Arabidopsis thaliana: one gene and its partner. The protein of the gene in region 1 interacts with the protein of each later gene in a pairwise test. Each region holds a gene or a part of one and is shown on either strand. Other genes may lie near its edges.

Region 1 (7,866 bases):
TGTGGCCTTCCTTCCATGCACTTATACATTTTTCTAAACAATTTATGCATTAGATTTTTTTTTTTGAACTATATATATGCATCAGCGATTTGACCATATATTTTGTAACAAAATCCCATAATTAAAATATACCAATTACTTTTTAATTCTTGCAGTTATGATTATGAAGCAAATTTAGATTTAAAAGTATAGAATATGGTTTATCAGCTAAGATCATTTCAAGTCTATATATACTTTATATGAATCTTGATCCATGGCTTAGATCACTCGCCTTAAATCCGAGTCACTCCTCGTAAATCCGAGCCACTCGTTTGTTAATCCGTACTCGAACCTTGATTTACGGGTTTCGACCTTTCTTTCATATGTTCATAGCCATTAACAATTACTTCCTTTAGTTGGATCAATTGTAGATCGTTTACTAACTCCAGCTTGGTAAGTTCTTTAAACCGATCACAAAACTTGCCCCATTTAAATTGAAGAAAAATACTAACATTTAGGTGAAAGTCAATTCCTTAACTTAAGTGACTTTGGATCAAGATCGCTACAAACGCCTCCCAAAAGACTTCACGAGTAAAGTCATATAATGTCAGCAACTCTTCCCCTCGATGATTGTTCTGATAACATTTAGAGATTACACCAGATTCGGCCCTTGAAACTAATTAAAGTGTAAAACAATTTGTTGTGTTTGACAATACCAAATGTTTAGTGGTCATTTATCGAACATCACCCTGTTTTCATTTTTAACTTTTTCTTATTAAGCAAGCATAAGACAAAGGAAAAGAAAAAGGAAACGAAACAAAAAGAAGTGCACAATTGCATTGCCACTTGCCTGGTCGAAACCTTATAATAAAGGAAACAATAAACCTTAGAGACACATTCATATGATTCACATATGTCTTTTTTTTTGTTTGTAACGCGTCCAATAGTATTGGGGAAAAGTGGCAACAACGCACTTTGATAAGTGATATTGGTGGATCTCCTCCTATGTTTGATTTCCACTATACAACATTACTCGTCAACCTTTTTTCTTTAGCCACAAATACTAAGTAAAATATTTAGTTACATTTAAAAAAAAATATAGATTATCCCTGCTTATTGGAATACAACCTGGTAAGATAACTGAAAGTTTTTCAAATTATATCTAAGTTACAAAAGATAAAGTTAACCACTTTGATTATTTGTAAAATATATTTCTATACCATATCCATAACACGCATACAAAAGTTCTAAAATTTTACTTGGTCTAATCCGTAGACGTATAACGTATTCATATATATATAGATACCAATTTTTATGCAACTTATTTTTGGTAAAACAATTACAAAAAAAAATATTTCCTGTAATTTAAAAGTCTTGTTTCTCAAAGTTAGTGACCACAAAATTGATAGTTGGTGTGGAGTCAATTTGCGGAGGAGCTTCCCTGTGATGCAACGTGTTAATGGTAAGTGGATAAGAATTAAATAACATTATTTGAAAAATGTAAGTGTCGCATGTGAAACCAGCCACTTCTTTAGCCAATTGAAACCATCTTTGACCCAACTCTTTTTTAGGAATACTGACGTTATTTGCAATTATCGACATTGAACTCTCTCTACACATCTTTTTTTTTTTTTTTTTTGTCAATCGACTCTCTCTACACATCTAAATAGTACTTTTGAGTAATCAAATATTCACGTGAATGAGCAGTTAAATCGTGTTTTTGGCAATTAATAATTAAGTGATAATTAGCAATATTAATACAAGTGTCGGCAATTGATAAAATTAAGTGAAGCAAGATATCTAAATATCACTTGTGTAAACAGCAAAAATGTTTTTGGGGTTGAGGTGTCATCGGTCTTGTCCGAAGAAAAGAGGCCGTACGTTAACGTGGAACAATTATCATACGCAACTCTTCAAGACAAAACACATAGTAGTATACACACACAAAAAGATAAATATGAGCAACACATAATAAATAAATGCTCTCGTTGAGAGTTGAACTCAAGACCTCCCGCTTACTAAACGGGTGCTCTAACCAACTGAGCTACGAGAGCATCTTGTTACTAAAGCCCTAATCATTTACTTATACTTAAATACAAATCGCTCACAGTCTACACATTCATATATTATACACAATAACGAAACTATAACGATCATAAAGCAGAAGAAACTCTCTTCGACCAACTTTTTTTTTCTTTTTTTCCAAACTGTTTCAATTACATAAGTTTTCCCAGTAATTAAACAAATGTACGATCAGTGTCTATACAGATTCTCATTTTCCTTCAACAAAACAAACAAAAGTAGCTGAAAGATATTTCACTTTTGCTATATATCACTCTCCTTATTTAGAGTTTAGAAAATGACTCTAAATATCATCATCTCCACGCCGAACCACTATGCGATATGAAGTGTCTAAAGTCCGGTAGAATCACCTTCAACCGCCTGAGCCACTCTTCAGCTGTTCGTAGCAGCGTCCCGACTCTCTGGTTCTCGTCTACGTCACTCTCTGGGCTCCATTCTGACAGTTTAAACTTGTAGGATGCGAGACCGAAAGTGGGCAATGGAAGCTTCGCCGATGCAACCGATTTGCTTGAGCTTTGACCTTCCTCATTGCTTGTACCTTTTACCAGTAATACAAGAGTTGATTTGCGATGTTTCTAATAAGCCCATGTATAGACTATGTTTTAAATATGCAGAGCAGGCCTACCTCGACAGGGTGTTGACAACGAGTGGAATGTTAAAAAGCAAGCATCGAGGTTTTGTAACGATTGACCTAATGGTATTCGGTATATTGGGTACCTTCAAGAATGCGAGAAGAAATCAATATTTATAGAGAGTGATTGGAAAAAATATACTCATGAAAATGTGGAAGGGACATGTTAGATGCAGTACCAAGCAACAGAGACCCAACTCGAAGGTGATAGATCACAGCTTCTGTATGTTCTGAGTGCTGGGAATTGTGATGACAGGTTTGAGATCTGCAATATTAAGGTTAAACATTATTATGACACAGGACAGAACAATTTCGCCGGCTATGAAATTGAACACCAATGTGAGAAGTTGAGCCACTTTAATTACATAATAAACATACCTTGTCGGTCAATGGTTCACGGCCAAATGGCATAGCACCCTCAAGATACTCAAAGACAAGTTCACCAGGAGAGTTACTGCTGGCCTCACTCTCATCACTCGATGAACCAATGCAAGGTTTCTCTTCCAAAGAGGCTCTGTATAAATTTTGAGAAAGCTCTCTACAGTCATTGCTCCCATCGCTACTCATGTCTCTAGGCGAATCACCATCACTTTCTTCACCAACTCTCCTGTTTAAGAACAAACATCAAAACAACGAATTTTACTCTAGAAAGCAGAAACGAATTGGGAATTAAAGAGAAAACCAACGAGATGAAACAAATTTGGAATTCAACACCATGATAAACTTGAACCACTGACTAGTATTTGAGAGCATAAAAGTTGTTGTGTATTAGTCATCCAAATGAATATCTCTAGATATTGTAGCAGAGAACGCTTAGAAGTTGGTTTTCCTATCTCCTAAAGAACGTGCATCCGAAGATTAAGAACAACCCAAGAAAGAAGTGGCTTCATCTCAAAATATATAAATTGACAAAAAAGCCAACTGCTATCCTTTTTTCTATCAGAAGAAGAACCAATCAACGAGCAAAGAACCCGATCACTACTGCTAATGGTTGATAGGAAACAATCAAAAATATAAGCAGAATGTAAGAACTCACCTCCTAGTTGTGCAGGCTCTAGATGGGTCTTCATAAAGCTGAATACCAGAGAGATAAGGAACATAATACTGAACAACCGAATCGATCCCATTTAAAAGAAGAGGAACCCCGACACCGTAGGCGCTCCATTCCTCAAATGAATCCCACAAATCATTCAGCAAGAAATAGGGACGGTACTCTGGTTCACGAGTTCTCCACCCCTTACTACTTGTCTGAAGCAAAAACACAGAAACTATGACTGACCACAACAACATCACAATTGTTCTACTAACTGAATCTGTTTCTCAAATCTACAATCCTAAATAGCGATAAATTCTAAAACCTGAAACCAATTCTATCTTCAATAAGAGACTGAGATCATAATCGTTCCCAAGAATTGATAAAAAGTTCCCATTTTCAACGCTTGATGCTAATGTTCTCATTCTAAAACTGCCCAAACCCAAGTCGTCGATTCAAGTAAAACTTCAAAATCGGAGTAATTACCAAAGGCAAGTGCTGCGTAGAAACAATTGGAGTGGTGCAATCCAGAAACCGGCCCAAATTGGAAGAAGTAGTTCCGGTGGTGGTGGTGGTGGAGGAGACCCGACTCGGCACAGAGCAATCGGAGGTCGAGCACTCCTCAGGTTGCTTAATCTCCTTCTCCTCGACTTTAATCTTTCGATCGAGAATCTCCTTTGCCTTCTTCTTCTCTTTCTCTATCTCCTCCGCTTCAAGTCTCTTCTTCTCACGCTCTTGTTGAAGTTTTCTCATCGGAGGTGGGTTATAAAACCGATTCTCGCCGCGGATCCTACGGGTAGTCGACATTTGTACAGGCCGGCGATGGAAAAAAGTAGTTGGGTGTGTGTGTGTAGATGATGGTAGCGTTTCGTCTTCTTCTTCTTCGTTTGAAAAAGGGCAATGGTTAGGGTTTTAGACTTTTTTAGTGAATTAAAGAGCAGTCAAAGATGCCTCATGATGAGAGATTAGATTTTATTGATTTTGTTTTGATTTGTTTGATAATTTAAACAAAAACGTCACCGTTTAAATTCGTACAAATTGAAAAGGAAATTAATAACCTTTTTGACCAAAAATAAAATGAAAAAAAATTCTGAAGCAAAAATAGAAATAAAGAATTAAAAAGAGCATATCGCATTTTTGTTATAAATATAAAAAAAATTAAACGATCAATTCATTTTCATCAAAGTAATAATAACCAATTCATTTGGCATTTTCAGTTCAATATTGTACGTTCACAATTTAACAAAAGTTATAATCCCTGATTTTTTTCCACGATTAATAATCATCACAACCGGATTTTAAAAATCAGAATTTGATCTCATTTGTGTTGTAGTTTTCTACATTGTTATAATTTTTATACATAAAATTAGACAAAGGTCTAGTAAATAAACTGAACACAAGGAATGTGGTGAACTTTGTAGTGATCTTGTCCTCTTTCAGACAATTTCCACACCCATTCACTATTCCTTCCTCCAATTGTCAGTTGTTTTAAGGATGTTATGTATATGACCTCATCCGGAAGCTCCTTCAACTTTCTGCATTCATTTATAGTCAAAGTATGGAGACATGGTATGGAGCCTTCTTCTACTATCCACTCTTCCAAATCATAAATTTAGCTCATACAATTGAGGAAACCCACCTTTTGAACACACCATCTTCTTCCCAGTGAAAGCACCATATGATAATTCAACCAATTTCAAGTGGAGCAACTTCTCTAGAATCGGCATTGGATCATCTTCCATGCAACAATACCGAAGACATATGTTCGTAAGGTTTGGAGGGAATCGATGTTGATCAGGCAACCTAGGCATATGCATGCCCACCGTTAAAAATTTGAGTTGAATCAAATCAAGAACTAATTTTCCTTCATTATGCCTATCATGCATGACCTCGTACAATGAAAGCTGCCCGAGTTCTCTCGATTCACAGAGAGATGCAGACAGAGTTTCTAACGTACAACCATCAAGGGAATGGACCGTGAGAGTTCTGAGCTTAGTCATACCAAGAAGGTCTTCCACACTACTGCTCTCTATTGAGTAACCCCTCAAGGTCCATGATGAATGATCCATACGATCATGATACAAAAGTATAAGATATCGATGATGAATGATTCATACAACCAGAGAAAAAAAAAAAAAAAAAAGGAATTACGAAAGTTACTACCTTCGTTTCATAAATTGACTCGTATATTTCCTCACACCAAAATTTATTAACTCGTATGAAGATGGCGGCCAACGTCCAAGGGCTCGCAAAAGAACAATTATAAGCATAAAAAACAAAAGTTACAGAACATGACTAGTGAAGAACAAGTAAACTAAAGAGACATTGGAGGGATCCAGTAAGGGAGGAGTGATGCTGACGAGAAGGCTGAGGGAGACTTGGGACGGAAGGAACGTGGTTTTCTAGTGGCGATATCGTAAACACCGAAGCCATCGCCTGCAAAATAGATGGAGTTAGGGTTTAGACCAGGGAATGAGCTTGCCTTGACACAAAAGGGCTCATTATTGCCTAAGAATATGCAGAGATCTCCAATGTCCTCCGTGTAACACATGGTCCTTTTATCTTCTTCCAGCTCTCTAAACACCATGAAACGCTTTGTTCCGCGACACAGGAATGTCATCGAATCACCTGGTTGGTGGTTCTGAGCGTACTACTTGATTAGGAAACGTTGGCCTGAGGGAGACTCCACAAGGTATACAGTCTTGGAACATGAGTCCAAGAGCTCCCACTCGGACTGGGTCAACTTAGGAACGTTGCAAAACCGCAACTCAACCAACTCAGAGCCGGTCATATCCTCTCCGAAGAAAGAATCCCAAAAAACCAAGAAGTGCCCTCCAAAACTAGGAGTGTAGAACTTTTCATCTCTCTTTGAATACATAACCTTTGATTGATCAAAATATTGAAAAGGGGTTTTAAAGATGACCGAACCCGAGTCCTTGTGTGTGCCACCAGGCCTATTGAAATTGATCATAGGTCCTAAACACTTGACAGCAACTGCAAAATCTTTGCTTTGATCAGGTGAACAAGTCATTGCGGCGTTAGTGATAGCTTGTTGTTGGATAGCTATAGGTTTACCAAGGGGATGCAAAGGAATGCTTTTGACAGATTTGGAGCCACATGGATTGTAGTAGTCAGTAACATATATGGCTTTATATTCATTATAATCACACACGGCCTTGAAAACTCCCCAACCATGGGACATTCCGACCAGACACCCTTTACGCAACTCCATTGGTAATACCTTGTCTCGGACAATAACTTCATCTTCCTTCACCGGGTCAAAATAGTGGATATTACTTGTTACATGAATATCATCCATAGAACTTCCATAGTTTATGACACGATACAACAAGTAAGGGTTGGTGGTAGAGGAGGAAAACATCCGAAGAGTGTGGCATCTCTGGTGAAAAGTAAGAAATAGACATCAGAAGAAGAAGACGAAGGAAACAGAGATTATATACAAAAACTAGAAGAGATTTACCAGAGGAAGTTTACGGAGAGAGGCCTTGGAAGAGAGGCTTAGAAGCAGAGACGACATAGCTTTTGCTTTGATATGTGAAAAAATCAAAAAGAAACAAAAGGGTTTTCACATAGGTCATCAAAGGAAAAGTAAAGAAAAAATAATTGGTGCAAAGTAAAGAATCTTGTGCACAAATTTGATAACAAAGATATTTCGTTTCCATTTTCATAAGATTATATAATAAGGGAAAAAGGAAATGTGGAGAAACGTGGAAACAAAGATAAAAACGAGAGAGACATTATTCTTGTGGCCAGGCACTTTGGTCTTAGATCGAGTCAAGAAGGGACTTTCTTGGTTGACTAACTCGAAAACCCTTTCTTTATTTCTTTTTGATTCTTCACTATCAACGCAAAGCTATGTCGTCTCTGCTTCTCAGATTCTCTTCCAAGTCCTCTCTCCACAAACTTGCTCTCGTAAATCTCTTCAATCTCTCTCTGTTTCTAGTTTTTATATAATCTCTGTTTTATTCTTCCTCTTCTTCTAATGTCTACTTCTTTACTCATCCCACAGAGATGTAACACCTTTAGGATGTTCTCCTCCTCAACCACCAACCCTTTTTTGCTGCATCATGCCATCCCTTGTGGTGAAGAAGCCCAAAGAACAGAGTTCCTCATGTTGGAC
Region 2 (7,724 bases), on another chromosome or scaffold:
CAGCAGGTATGAATTGGGAGTCACAGAATTATCAAACTCATAGAGAAAGCAGAAAAAACAAACTCAAGGACTCAAATTGGTGATAACTGTTTCATTGCAGGTGTGGTCAGGACCTTTATCTGGTGACCGTATGGTAGTTGCTCTCTGGAACCGTTGCTCTGAGCCAGCAACTATTACAGCATCATGGGATATGATCGGTCTTGAATCTACCATTAGCGTTTCAGTAAGAGATTTGTGGCAGCACAAAGATGTAACAGAGAATACTTCTGGCTCCTTTGAAGCTCAAGTTGACGCACACGACTGTCATATGTACGTTCTCACTCCCCAGACAGTATCACACTCTGATGTATAGTTCTTTATTGTGAGGCATTCAAATCCCAAAGAACAGAGATTGCCTTTGTGTTTCTGTATACTCGTGTATCTTGTAAAACGTGAAACCTGTTGTTACCCGGACAACTTTAAATGTTTGTCACTCTCTAAACAAATTGCCAGAAGTGACAAGAAGTAAAACTGAATCTCATATAAAAATTTAGATAAAAAGTCTGAAGGATCTTGATTCCAAAGAAAAGACAAATGCCAAATCAACTCTTAATCTATACCACTTTTGTATATTCTGACCTACCAACAATGAAGAAGAGATCTCTAATGAAACATTGGTCAAAACAAGTTCCTGATGGATCTTTTGAATCCTATATAGAGTTTTGAATACTAAATAGAGTTTGTCCATGTGGTTAAGAGAACCTAGTAATCCTGAAGGTGTCAAGATAACAACCAAAGCTTCGGTCACAGTCACTAAAAGTCAAGAGCCGTTCATGGTTTGGGAGGATCTGATACTCTCTTCTTTGCCATTTTCCAATACCAATGTGCTTGAAGTTCTAGGTTCTACTAGGTTTTCTGGTGGTGGAAATTGGCAATTGTCATCAAGCTCCAAATTCGCAGATCTTTGAGATTTCAGCACACTCTCTGGTCTCACACATTCTTCTCCTTTGTTACTGGTACAAGAAGTAGACACTTCACCGGAAAGATTGCAGCAACTACTGGCTCCATCATTGTCTATTGCCTCAGAGGAAGCTTCTAAATGATTCGTTGATGAGGTTCCAGTACCTGATTCTCTGAACCTGTCAGAGTATACCTGTTGACTCTGCAACAACCATTGAGAAGCAATTCAGAAGCTTGCAGCAATAAGTTAATTTTTAAGCCAAAATGTCCGTCAAAGGGGTTAATCGCATACCATGTCAGGAATATAAGTGCCGGTTCCTCTCGTCTTTCTCATGTTTTGACAGCCATTAGGTAAAGAATGCAAAGGAAAAGGCTGCATAGAGGTTGATACATTGAGACTTCTAAGATGGAACTCGTTCTTTCGGTAAGTCACAAGGTGACGAACAATATCCCAACCACTCAGGTGAGAACTAACCGGGATATAGCCATGCTGAAATGTTCCAGGTAAGCTATGCCCATGATACATTTGCCCATACACAAGTCTTCCAAAGGAACTATCGAAATCTCCACTAAGTTCAGATAATTCTGATCTTCCAGTACCGAAAGCAGTAACGGGATCATTCACATCTTGCCTTTGTCCCTTACCATTTCTCTCCAAAGAGTTACGAAAGAACTTCTCCAATCTCCATCCCATGGTGTCACCAGGTAGTGAAAGAACATCTCTTAGCTTTCGAGCTCCAAGTGTAAAAGCATGTCTTATTCGTTGGACATTTCCTAACAAAATGTTTTTAAAATAATTAATATTTGACAACTGCTATATTGGTTGTATAACTTTTATCAATAGAGTACCTTGTGTAACACTTTTGCCGAGGTTGTTGCTGTATTTTAGAGGATCAACTATGTTGAGATGTTTGATAGGAAACTCAAGACCATTTGAGTCAACAGCTTTAGTTGGAGCAGAATATAACTCTACACAGTTTCTTAAAAACTTCTCGTCAAGTAATAACTCATGCCCATTTTCTGGAGATGCTGCTGGAAAGATAGAAAGAGAAAGAACCAAATTAAAACGTCAAATAGCGCCAAGAAAATGCCACGAAGAGAAGTATCTGTGATTTTTGGCATCATCCTTACCTGTAAGTTCTGGAAGGGACGATATTGGCACAGGACCATTGACACTGATACAGTAGTTGTTCCAATCAAATGAACCATAGTAATCCAAGAACTTATACAGAACCTGTTGAAAGACAATGCTATATTCTCATCTTTTGCATATATGTAGAGGATGCTGAAGGTTCAGAAAAAGAGTGATTACCGCTAAAGGGCCAGATAAAGATGAATGAAACAGGTTGATGATGTACAAAACTAGTACTGCCAATGCATATGTTGAGATCAATCCAGTGTTAGCACCAAGAATTCGACTCTCGTAATAGCACCAAGCTTTGACAAGGATGATGCTACGCTTGAAAAGATGATCTCTCCCAAAGAGTTGGTCAACCTGAGAATACATAAAACCAGAGTTTAACCAACAACTAAGAATCAAAGCTAGGCAATAATCTGTTTAGTAAACCTCTGGAGCCTGATTTTGAATAGCTGATAGTACCTGCTCCAGAAAACATAAAGCACAGAGACCTGCCGTTTGATTAAAAGAGATATCAACAGCAATGTTCCTGATATTGCATTTTATGACCTTGACCTATCATATATCAGCAAACTTTCTTAAGGAAAATTTGGGCAACCAAGAAAATACAAAAACGAAACCAAAAAGTAAATAAACAAAGAGACCTGTGCAGGGATAAACTGAACATCTGTTGCATGGAATTCAGATTCTCTTTCTTCATTCTGAAGCCTACTGCACAATTGTCCATAAAAATCGTCATCCATATTTTGCTTAGTTAGGACAGTCAGATCGATATCCCCGTCCGGGAGATAGGTTTTTAGTGGCACTGAACCAAATGAAAAGACCTGTAGATAAACAAGTTCCCATAGAAAGTTAACAAAACAGCATAAATCTTTAACATGTCAGCAAAGAGAAGCGGAGTTTCTAACCTCAATTCCCTCATGACTCATGATAAGAGTTCGTACATAATCAATGATCTCATTCCTACTTCTGTCTGAAACAAGGGCAGGTTGGATAGTGCAAAGTATCTCATGAGCTCTCTCCTCTGCAATCATCCAAGAATCTGCATCTATCGGCAATGAATCTCCTTTAGGTAGTGCCGTTGATAGTGACAATGAGGATGATGAAGAAGACGAAGATGATGAAACTGACAATCTTTCTTGAATTTCACCCATGTGCGCATAACTTCAAACTAACATCAGAGTGATAACACAGGAATCCTCAACAACTCAATGAGCCCCTTATATAATTATGATATCTACAAACAACAGAACAAACAGAATTACAAAATATTTCAAATTGGCCTTTTTGTCATCACATTAGACAGAGAAAAAGAAAAAAATGAAGTCAAGGTAAAAGTTGATTGTCTAATAACTAGAGCTCCCAAATTTGATTAAGAACAATCGAGGCTAATCCAGAGAGTGAGTGAGATTACATCCTAAGCAAGAGACATAAAAAAATGAAACAGAGCATGCCAATAGTGAATTCAGTGTTAGGTAGGTACCCTAATGTTTAGCTTCTCAGAGCAAAATCGAATATTTATAAAGGAAAACAAAACAAAACAGCTAAACTATCCTGCGTGAGTGATGATTATACCTTAGGAAAAAATGACTATTAGCTCAGAAGTCTCAGCTCTGTCTCTTCCAAAATCATTTTTTTTTGTTGACAAAATTGAGAGGTTTAAGTAGTGAAAGGCGTACCTGCGGTTTTAGACCAGTTGTCCAGAGATTCTTTGGGCTAATCTTTGAATATTCAAGAAGCTTTAATTCCTGCTAACAAACAAACAAAAAAAATCAAAACTTGGAACAGGGTTTAAGATTTGTAACGAATCGACATTTTCACACGAAAAAAAATATGACATTTTGGTTTTCATCTTTAAGCTTCACAAGGACCACGAAGATGGATTAAGACAAAAGAGAAAACCCCAAAAATCAAAAAACGAGATTCACACGAAACATCATTTTGCTTTCTCCGATAACGAGGATTAAGAGGCAAATTAAGCTTGTATTCATTGGATTCCTAAAGATTAAGCAAAGATTATCTCACCTCGAAACAAAATTTCCAGCTTTAGTTTTTTTTGGATCTTATGGATAATAAACGTTACACCAAAAACTTTTTTGAAACACAAAGGGGAAAAGAAATAAAAACCCAGATAAAAACAGATATGAGTCAGTAAAATGAAACGGAAGGGATTGTTTACGAATACCGATTTGTATTCATTGATCAGGAGAAGAGAAACCGATACTATAAACTTTTTTTTAATTGAGGGGAGAAAGAGAATTATCACCAAGACAAAAAATTAAGGGATAATATAAGCAAAAATAAAATAAAAAATTATGGAAGGTTCATAATAGTGGAGACTCTAAAACAATCTGCCATTTTTGTATCAATGAGAAAAAAATTAACTTCACCTGCTCCTCTCAAATAATTTTCAACCCAAGAAAAAAAATAGATTTTCTTCATTCTTGTTGGAGACTCTTAGTCTCTATGATCTTCATGGTCAATGTTTTTGAATGATTCAACAAAAACCCTAATTTCTCCAAATTCCAAAACCCAGAATTCCAGAAACAGTAGAAACTCAATTCCATGAAAGGGAAAAAAGTGTATCGTATCTTTAGGTGGACTCGAGTATAGACGATTACACAAGTGGGACCCAACTAATCATAAGATTGACGACGTGGCCTACTAATACGAGGTTTTTATCTCTTCCGTACACGTGGCATAATATCGGACGGACTAATTTAGATAGACGATTAAAAAAAAAAATCAAGCAAAACAATCAGATTTTTTTTTTCCCGCTATGTTGTTGACTCTCTCTCCTAAAACCCTATCTTCTTCTTCCTTCTTCACTGTGCACAAATCGCAAAACCCTAAATGTAAATCTCCAGATTCATGTCGATTCAAGAGCTTGAAATGTAGTTTTGATCGAATTTTAGTGAAATCCGAGGTTCAAATTGAGAGGAATCTCGAATTTGAAACGGGAGAGACATTTTTCCGCCATGAAAGCGCTAGAGGACGAGACCTCGGTGTTTTGTCAGCGACGCTATACAAGAGATCTAATGGAAGCTTACGGGTACTCGACGCAATGTGCGGATGTGGAATTAGGTCGCTTCGTTATCTTGTGGAAGCTGAAGCTGATTTCGTGATGGCGAACGACGCAAATGATGATAATCGGAGAGTGATTACGGATAATTTGAGTAAAGTAGAGAGAGGTACTGGAGATGAGAGGAGATGGGTTGTGACTCATATGTTGGCTAATAAAGCGATGATTGAGAGATATATGGTTGCGGATTTCTTCGATATGATTGATATTGATTCGTTTGGAAGTGATTCTTCGTTTTTGAGAGATGCGTTTAATGCATTGAGATTGGGTGGTTTGCTTTACTTGACGTCGACTGATGGTTACTCTTCTGGTGGTCACAGACCTTATAAGTGAGTGAAAGCAATACCATTAGTCTTTGTGGTATTTTAGGAATCATGATATGATTTAGGGACTAGGAGATTGAAAGTTGAAAAATTTCTTGGTTTGTTTTGGTGTAGTTCTTTAGCAGCTTATGGAGCATTTATTCGACCAATGCCGTTTGGGAATGAGATTGGGCTGCGGATGCTTATAGGTGGAGCAGTGAGAGAAGCTGCTCTGCTTGGTTATCATGTTACGCCTCTTTTCTCGTACTATTCTTATCACGGACCTGTGTTTAGAGTCATGCTGAGGGTTCACCGTGGGAAGCTACATGAGGACAGGTTGTTTCTACATTTAGAATTTGACTCGAAAGGAATTGAGTTTTGGTTATGTTGCGTTTCTAATTGGAGTTGTTTTGTGTCTTTTAACTGTAGGAACTATGGTTTTGTCACGCACTGTAATCTATGTGGCCATTCTCATACATTGAGATTCGATGAACTTGGTTTGATGGGATGTCCCTGCAGTGATACAAAGGCTTCTTCTTCACTGGTTGTGTCAGGACCAATGTGGCTCGGACCGCTTCATGATGCATCCTATGTTACGGAAATGCTGGAATTGGCAAAGGAATGGGGATGGGTCAGTGAAGGCACTGGCATGGATCTGGACAAGCTTCTCAGTATAATGATTGAAGAAAGTGATCCCAGACTACCACCTGGATACACAAAAATGGATGAGGTCCTCTAAAACCATGATTTTAATTTCATTGATAAGATAGACGCATTTCATTCACATTACATGATAAAAGATTTGTTTTCGTGATTAGATGGCGAGCCGTGCGAAGATGAACTCACCTCCGTTGAAGAAGATGATGAGTGCACTAGTTAAGGTAAATAGTAGTTAGATTCTCACAGCTTTGATCTCTGAAGAAACTGATCTGAAGGTACAAAGTTAAAAAGCTCTGCTCCTTGGATTTTTGCAGGAGGGTTACGCTGCTAGCAGATCTCACATTATTCCCAATGCTCTTAAAACAGATTGTCCCATGTCCCATTTTGTTAGGATTGCCAAGGAAAATTTGCATAGTTAACTTTTTGTTATAATCAAGTTTAGAGATTTTTTTAAGCCTCTGATTATACTTTACAAAGCAATCATACCCAACACTCGACTATATTATTTGTTGCTTTATGCTAAGTAGGGAGATACAAGTACTTAGCATCGCTTAAGAACGAGCGAAGCTTCGGTCATTAAATATTTCTCTGAAAAGAAGGTATGAAGTTGCAAAAATCAAAAAAGAGGAAAAATCTTGGTCAAATCAACTGGTAAAATGGTCTGAAACGTTTAAAGCTCCAATATGGCGAAATCATCTTTAACAAAATGTAGAAAACATCTTCAAAAATTTCAGACAAAAGAGAGATTGAAACTAGAATATAAGAAGTTTCGGATTGCCAGCTTCTTGAAGTCTTCAGGCACGAGGAGCAGCAGGAGCACCACCGGCAGGGCGAGGAGCCTGACCAGGTTGTGCAGGCTTGGGTGTATCCTCCTGAGAATTAATCATTTTTGAGACAATTCAGAAAAAAAGCTTGCAACATAACATTAAAGAAGCTACATTCACCATCAAAACAAAACGTAGCATGTAAAGTGTCACGGTTTGGAACAGGACAACAATCATATGAAACAACTACAACAATGAGATACAGTGTCGAGCTCACATTCGAATATAATTGCTGTATTTGGAGAAAGTGAAACTACATAATTCCGCTTCAAACCAATTCACCTTTCAAACCATTATTATCAAAATGCCACCAAGACCTTTTATCTAAGACTGATTTAAGCAAATTTGCTGAAGGACACGAATGGATTCATTGTACTGAGAGGTTACCTTGCGTCTGGCAAAACGAGGTGGTGGGGTACGAACTCTACGGTTGGTGCGGGATCGGACTCTCACAACGTGAGAATGGATAGCACACGAGACACAGTACTGCGTCTTAGCGTAAAGCTTTGGGAGAGTGTAACCTACCAATGCAATACAAATACAAAACCAATTACACTCTGAAGTCTCAAAACAAAATTCCAAATACACAATTAACAATGCATAACAAGAATCTATCAACACATACCTTCGTAGACGCTAGCTTCTTGAACATCTCTAATAGCAGCCTGCTCAACAATGTTCCTTACGATAAATCTCTTAATCGCCTTGTCCTATCAACAAGAGAGCCAAAACCAGATCGATACATTTTCAATCTTAAGACAAATCTAGAACCGGGAAAT

Evidence for each region. Proteins that work in one complex are often made in the same cells at the same time.
Region 2: the proteins of AT4G16100 (region 1) and AT3G56320 interact in a two-hybrid assay, tested with the Arabidopsis thaliana proteins (one large-scale study listed by BioGRID).

What each region holds. Positions count from the first base shown.
Region 1 is NC_003075.7:9,102,475-9,110,340, reverse strand, and holds AT4G16100 (heat shock protein, putative (DUF789)), read right to left. Parts: upstream 4,689-7,866; 5' UTR 4,533-4,688; coding exon 4,212-4,532; intron 3,941-4,211; coding exon 3,729-3,940; intron 3,300-3,728; coding exon 3,071-3,299; intron 2,958-3,070; coding exon 2,872-2,957; intron 2,779-2,871; coding exon 2,687-2,778; intron 2,600-2,686; coding exon 2,355-2,599; 3' UTR 2,182-2,354; downstream 1-2,181. Other genes in the region: AT4G16095 (RNI-like superfamily protein), read right to left, coding at 5,104-5,250, 5,378-5,794; AT4G16090 (uncharacterized protein), read right to left, coding at 6,376-7,125, 7,207-7,263; AT4G16080 (hypothetical protein (DUF295)), read left to right, coding at 7,729-7,866.
Region 2 is NC_003074.8:20,885,394-20,893,117, forward strand, and holds AT3G56320 (PAP/OAS1 substrate-binding domain superfamily), read right to left. Parts: upstream 4,411-7,724; 5' UTR 4,103-4,410; intron 3,910-4,102; exon of another isoform or gene 3,826-3,909; 5' UTR 3,757-3,825; exon of another isoform or gene 3,561-3,756; intron 3,315-3,560; 5' UTR 3,232-3,314; coding exon 2,986-3,231; intron 2,902-2,985; coding exon 2,722-2,901; intron 2,633-2,721; coding exon 2,540-2,632; intron 2,435-2,539; coding exon 2,252-2,434; intron 2,174-2,251; coding exon 2,071-2,173; intron 1,972-2,070; coding exon 1,789-1,971; intron 1,714-1,788; coding exon 1,232-1,713; intron 1,142-1,231; coding exon 800-1,141; 3' UTR 501-799; downstream 1-500. Other genes in the region: AT3G56310 (Melibiase family protein), read left to right, coding at 1-6, 101-352; AT3G56330 (N2,N2-dimethylguanosine tRNA methyltransferase), read left to right, coding at 4,857-5,488, 5,597-5,797, 5,891-6,191, 6,280-6,342, 6,436-6,540; AT3G56340 (Ribosomal protein S26e family protein), read right to left, coding at 6,916-6,993, 7,333-7,466, 7,571-7,655.